2 linked regions of the Nothobranchius furzeri genome follow. The protein of the gene in region 1 interacts with the protein of each later gene in a biochemical or structural test. Links are inferred from orthologs where the notes say so. Each region holds a gene or a part of one and is shown in the gene's direction. Other genes may lie near its edges.

Region 1 (4,396 bases):
TCCTTCCAAAGATGCTCAATAGGATTGAGGTCAGGGCTCATATGGCCACTTTAGAATAGCGCAATGTTTTCCTCTTAGTCATTCTTGGGTGTTTTTAGCTTCATTTCTGGGTCATTGTCCTGTTGCAAGACCCATGACCTGCATTCTGGCACTAGTCAGCACATTTCTCTCTAGAATCCTTTGATAGTATTGAGATTTCATGTACCCTGCACAGATTCAAGACACCCTGTGCCAGATGCAGCAAAGCAGCCCAAAACATGACAGCGCCTCCTCCGTGTTTCACAATAGGGCCAGTGTTCTTTTCTTGATATGCTTCATTTTTCCATCTGTGAACATAGAAGTGATGTGCCTTGGTAAAAAGTTCAATTTTTGTCTCATCTGTCCATAGGACATTCTCCCGGAAGTGTTGTGGCTTGTCAACATGTAGTTTGGCTTTTTTATTATTTGTTTTCAACAATGGTTGTCTCCAATGTAGTCGACTTTGACTCAAACAACAATGGATGGCGCGATCTGACACTGATAATCCTTAAACTTGAAGTTCACCTTGGATTGCTTTAGAAGTTTGGGCTCTTTTGTAACCATTTGGATTATCTGTCTCTTTGATTCCTCATCAATTTTCCTTCTGCGGCTGCAACCAGGAAGGTTGGCTACAGTACCATGGATCTTAAATGTCTGAATAATATGTGCAACTGTAGTCACGGGAAGCTCTAGCTGCTTGGACATGGTCTTATAGCCTTTACCTTTCAACATGCTTGTTAAAAAGAAAAGACAAATCTTTCCTTTGCTTCCTCTGGTCCATGTTGAGTGTGGTGCATACCATGTCACCAAAAAATTGTGATGTGTCCGATGTGTCCAATGTGTCGACGCTTCGAAACGTGTGTCAGGTATCCAGGAAGATTTTTTTGTGAAGCGCGTGTCGAGGCTTGTGTTGATTACATAAGCAGCGACGTTCGAGGCCTCGTTGGCAGTCGGTACCATTTGACCGATTCAGGAACTGGCTCGCCGGTTTGCACCGGATTCAAAATAAAAGGGGCAGCCAAACACTGCTGATTCCCCCTGTCGCATTGTGCTGTTGAGACTCTGTGTCCTGTTAGGTTCCTTTCTCTTTTGGACCAGACAGTATATTAAAAGGACAGTTTAAGACATTAAGAATATATTGCCATCATAAGCATTTATTTTTTCAGTTTAAATGTTTGCCGTTTTACTTGAATCATCCACTTGATGGCACAATAGAGCAATCAATCAAGAGTTGACCAGTTGACTGGAATGCTTCAGCTCATCATCACTACCCAATAGCATAGTGACCTGGAGCCCTGGAGCCCACGCCCACTGACTGATTACAAGATTGTAGACACCTGTCTCTTTGCTCACATTGTTTTCAGTCTTTTCTAGGGGTACCATCCTTTTAATCCAGGCCTGTTCCATAAGTTTATTTTTTAAATAATTCTGTTGAAGCAATGGTTGAAAAGCAATGTCTGACTTTAATTGGTTAAATTTCATAGAATTTTTATTTATTGTAACTTTTGTCAGGTTCAAGTTGTTTGTGACCATCGTGGGTTTTTCTTTAACTGACTGGAGGGTATCAACAATTTTGTCCATGTCTGTACATTTGATTTTACTTCATATATGCATATTACATTATTTTTACATGATCAACTCTGGATTTTTATTAGCTAGAAATAATTGCAATTAGGTAACTAAAATGATAAGAATCTCAAGGTAAATGTATGTTATTTAAATATTATGTACTAGTTTTATGTAGCTTCAACTGAAGTTCTGCAACATATTTTCTTCATGCAAAATAGATAAATGTTTATTAAACCCACATTTTGTTTTCTTTTACTGCTCACAAATTTCTAATTATTGCATAGTTAAAAGCAAGTTTTTGTGCGAATAAACAAAAACCCATGGTACAGAAACACATAATTAAAACGTGAGAAAAAAATCTAAAAAGCACTACTTCTAATTTACATAGAAAGTAATGAGCACACTTTATGCGTTTTACTTTTTTATTTTTATTGTATTATTTTTAAAAATGTTTTTAAATGTACTTGTGTCATTGATGTAATACCGCAGATTGAACACGTGGTGACGCCAAATAGTCACTTTTTACCCTTTTACAAAGCCAAGACGTCAAAAATAATTCTTTTAATGTAGGTCAGAGAAGTTGACTGTACGTGTTCGTCTCAATTTTTTATTATTGAAGGAGACACATTTACTCTCTAAAGGTATTTAAAAACGTGTTTTTTATTAAAGTGCTAAATAGTCCTAAAACAATCTCAGGTGAATGGGTGTTCTTGCTAACCTGCTTCCTGTAGGCTTGTTTTCACTCCAAAGACAAGCAAAGCCGTTGTTTACCGGTGATTTGACGGGCGCTCACCTGTAGTGACGTAAGCAGGACAGGCAGCGAACTGTGACGGAGGGCGGCGGAAGTCGACAGCCGCTGTTATCAGCTCAGCTCGTGCAGAACCGCCGGACTGACCCGAATCTCAGAACTGGGCAGCCGCGCTCGGAGGCGCACCTCTCAGGTAAGGACTCGCTTTCCTGGACTCGGCGTCTTCTCGTAGTTCGGAAGCTTGGAGATGTCTGGCAGACATTTTTCTCCCACGCGACTCCGTCATTCTGGCGACGCTGATGTTTCAGACTAAATCCAGCGAGTGAAAACATCTGAAATGAAGCTTGTTATTTATTTACTTTAACGATCAAAACTGCTGTCAGAACCGAGGTCATGCTCTGGCCTTTGCTCCCATCTTAAGACCGTAATAACATGTTGGAGTTGGTCAGGAGGTTCGGAGGCATTCATCAGAAACAATGGAGTTTATTTTCCTGTAGTTTCTAGTGTGTGTGTGTGTGTGTGTGTGTGTGTGTGTGTGTGTGTGTGTGTGTGTGTGTGTGTGTGTGTGTGTGTGTGTGTGTGTGTGCCATGACTCATGGGTTAAGTCCCTTAATATAAGTTGACAACAAACTGCCTGTAAGATTTGAGTTTGGTTAGGGTTAATGTTTTTGTCCTGATTTATTAAAAGCATTTTTCTGATGTTGTAGGTGTTGAAGGACTCAGCTGCAGGACACTATGTCTCGCGGTGAATCAGAGACATGCATGGACAACCAGAACCCTCAAATGGAGACTCGCTTCTCCACGGAACTTCATATATATGAGCCGGGTGATAAAGGTTACCCCTCAGAAAGCCCTCCAGCTCCCCTGGCTGAAGCATCCACCCCTCCAGGTGAACCACCCCCTCCCCAGAAGGAGGAGGACACGGTGGATAGAGCCGCAGTGCCTCAGCAGGTAGTTTTGAGCACCAAGAGCGCCGCAGCAAAGAAGTTTGGCACCTTCCAGCTGATTCCCAAGAACTTAGCAGCGACCAGCCGACCTAAAAACCGACACCACACCACTGTGGTGATGTTCCCACTGGGACTGGAGAAGTCCAGCAATGAGAACCGCAGCAGCTGCTCAGCCCTCGAGGCAGATGCACGGTGGGAAGATTGTGAAAGTGATGGAGAGGGCTCGGCTTTCAGGAGGAACCGGAATAAGTCGTACAGAGCAGCGGTGACCAGTCTGGACATTGAAGCCATGGTGGCAGGACGAAAGGCCCCCGCTACTCTGAAACCCGTAGATGAAAATAGAGCGAGCAGCCCTGGACCGGCTCGTAGCGCTAGACGCAAGGTATACATCCAAAACGTGGTGTGGCGATGTGTTTGTAGTCCTCCAAGTAACAGGAGCTGGTTTTATACGCAGTTTCAAAACATTAAAACTTTGTTTAGTCTTTTCCTTTACGTCAGTCTGCTGCCAAAGTGGCAAAGTTTGATAATGGGACATAAACAGCAGATAATCAGCCAAGAGGAGCCAATCCTCTCTGCTGATTAGTCACAGGGACAGAATGACATCCAAACATTTTTACAGAGGCTTTTGCAGGAACTTTAATCAAAAAATTTGCAATTAATATCTGTAAGTAGGAGTTGATCTTGAGACTGAATAATAAAATCAAGCTATGTCTCTCTGTAGCGAACCCTGGGGAGAAAGAGGAACCAGCGTGGATCATTCAAAGACGGTACATTCACTCTTGTGTCACTCTGTCTGCTCGGCTAAATTTGGTTACAGCACTACCCAGTAGTGGAAACTTTTTCTAAACATGCATCTAATTAATCTTTAGAAGAAATGTTTGCTGTGGAATTTTTACGCAAACAAAATGGTTTGATGGAATCATTTACAAGTGTCGTTTCTTGGGAAACGGCTTGAGGAAGTGGACAAGGACCAGGATATCAGTCTTTCTGAATGACAAATGTCTGCATCCTGCAGGGTGGACATTTGTCATGAACTTTTAGACACTTCCACTTCTTTATTTATTTGTCGGTATTAGATCTTGATTTCATAACATTACAAACTAAAAACTTGTGT
Region 2 (2,548 bases), on another chromosome or scaffold:
TGTTTCCTCTTTTAAGTTGTTGTGTACTCTGAAGTTAAACCTAATCACTGATAATCTGCTGAGAATGTTCAGAAAATGTCAATTTCAGCATTATTTTAAATCACTTGTTGCAAAACCAAAAGCTCATTGTGAGCTAAGGATAATGTATGTATTCAGAAATAATAAAGAGTGAAATGTGATGCAAAAAATATTGTTTGTGTGGATTTTCTGGGACAGATGATATGGATTAGTGAAGTGGTTTGTGTATGAAGTGAGTTTGAGCTAAATGAAATAAATTACACATCTAGTCTGAACCGTAACAGTCTCCATTCTTACCATTAATCTCCTAATCCAACACTCTTTTCAAGATTCGTAAGATACAGTTAAAAATCTGGACACTAACCCGAACTTATTTTCTTTATTACCTTTTTTGTTAGGCCTGTTTCAGATTTGTGGATTTATTTTTCATTTATGAGTCTGCAGCTTTGATGATGTGAGCTAATAGGTGTGTTTGTTCACAGGGCATCTATGTGACCAGGATAACACCAGGAGGACCGGCAGAAGTGGCAGATTTAAGGATAGGAGATAAAATAATGCAGGTGCGTCATTGTTGTTGAGGAAATAAATCCACATGATGGCACTGTTTCCTCCTTTAAGTGCCTCTGAAGTAGTTCTTCTTCCTGGCAGGTGAACGGCTGGGACATGACCATGGTGACCCATGATCAGGCGCGTAAAAAACTCACCAAGAAGAAGGAGGATGTGGTGCGATTGCTAATAACCAGGAAGTCACTGGAACAGGCAGTCAACCAGTCAAAGGGCAAATATCCCAGACCGTGATGTCTTTGCACCCCCCCCCCCCCAACACACCCACTATAACAGCAGCTTCACACAAGAACTGAGAACCCTCGTGTACACAGAAGATGTTCAGATGATTGTAATGAAACCAATGCAAAAAAAAACAGAAGGTCTCAGAATACATCAGGTGTGTGTGTGTGTGTGATGTTTAGCTGGCAATCTGAAAGTTTGACACTTCTTTTTAGAGTCTCACCTGCACTTCTTAGCTCTGTTGAGATATCTGAAAGTATGAGATTATCCTAAATCTGGGGCATCTTTTAAAAAGAGGAGAACAAGCAGAGAACTTAATAAAGAAAACCAAGATTTCCATAATATCACACAGACCCACGCTTTTGGAGAACTAGTGCATTTCCCTGGAACGCAGCTTTATTTGCTGTGTAGAACAAAGTTATGGAATGGTTCCCATTCAACTTGTTTTTAAAGTCAAATTTAAATCATTCTTAAATATTTTTGGGAACATTTTATTTTTTGTTTTTGTCTATTTTCTGCTGTGAAACTAGAACAAATCCCAAAGTTAGAACCAAGCCACTGTAAGACCATAATACAGAATGTAATGCAGCTTATGTGATCATTTATAAAATAATGGTACCATATACTGTGTAAAACCTGTACAAAGGTACAAAGTGTATATTGGTGTCAGTATGTTTTTTTTCTTCCTTTTTGATACAAGAGTTTCTAGCTTTGGATCACTCACTTTGTGGTATTTTTTATTTTTACTATGTTCTATTACTTTTGTAAACTTTATCTAGCAAGAAAAAAAACATAATTTGTTGTTTTTAGAGAAAAATCAATCCTGATCAGCTTTTACTGTCTCAAAACTTTAAAACTACAATGAATATTATGGATGTTGCTTTGGATGCAAAAACGTTGTCCTACTCAAACACCTTTCTACTTTATTTTTAGTTTGTTTAAAACTCCAATGATTGATCATCTCATGTTATTAAGCATGTATCAAAAATAAATGAGAGATGACAGGTTATTCAACTTTTCCCACATTTAAACAGCAAATCCATTGTTCTTAAACACAAATCTGTACATATTTCCTAATTTTCTATCTTTGACAGTGGATATTGGGTCATGCTTTTTCATGGTATTTTGTATGTTTTTGATGGCATTTGATTAATAAACTGTTGAATAAACTTCTGTACATCTAAGGTTTGTAGCATGTGTTTTTGATATTAAAATGCTTTGTTTACCTCCATCACAACAAAGTTAAAGGCACATTCTGCCTAATGTGTCTTGTGCTCTGGCAAATCAAATCATTAAAATAAGGCATTGACGTCTTTTTAGATTTATTTTTCCTTTTTACACTCAACAGACCATAATTGAAACTCCAGTAAAACAATTAAAAAAACTAAAATTCCCTTTTCAGATCATTGAAATGGGCGTATTAGCAATAATTGACTAATCATCCCTTTTTGGTACCCAGTAGAACTTCTGCACACAGTAGAAAAATTGAGTTTGTCATTATGTTCAGATGATCACAGTAAGTCTGTTAACATCAACGTTTCCAGTACAAAAAATGTAAAACACATTATTATAGTCTCAAAATATTTCTGACTCCCCTTCTTTTAAACCTCACATGCCCTTCAAATAGTCATGTTGTCACCTTTAAAGTAATCAACTGACATTTTGAAGCGAATAATCCATTTCCTGACCTTTATGCATTGACCAACGAGCTTTTAAAGTTCAGAGACAAAAGCCCCCTATTGTG

Evidence for each region. The genes of interacting proteins can lie anywhere in the genome.
Region 2: the proteins of arhgef16 (region 1) and tax1bp3 form a complex in vitro, tested with the Homo sapiens proteins (2 studies listed by BioGRID and IntAct, with this or other methods). The link is inferred for Nothobranchius furzeri from reciprocal best matches to the Homo sapiens genes ARHGEF16 and TAX1BP3.

Annotation. Positions count from the first base shown.
Region 1 is NC_091755.1:32,500,318-32,504,713, forward strand, and holds the start of arhgef16 (rho guanine nucleotide exchange factor 16), read left to right. Parts: upstream 1-1,516; 5' UTR 1,517-1,599; intron 1,600-2,318; 5' UTR 2,319-2,528; intron 2,529-3,042; 5' UTR 3,043-3,070; coding exon 3,071-3,664; intron 3,665-4,003; coding exon 4,004-4,049; intron 4,050-4,396. UniProt on the Homo sapiens protein: Guanyl-nucleotide exchange factor of the RHOG GTPase stimulating the exchange of RHOG-associated GDP for GTP. May play a role in chemotactic cell migration by mediating the activation of RAC1 by EPHA2.
Region 2 is NC_091748.1:55,896,238-55,898,785, forward strand, and holds the end of tax1bp3 (tax1-binding protein 3), read left to right. Parts: intron 1-500; coding exon 501-578; intron 579-666; coding exon 667-816; 3' UTR 817-1,988; downstream 1,989-2,548. UniProt on the Homo sapiens protein: May regulate a number of protein-protein interactions by competing for PDZ domain binding sites. Binds CTNNB1 and may thereby act as an inhibitor of the Wnt signaling pathway. Competes with LIN7A for KCNJ4 binding, and thereby promotes KCNJ4 internalization.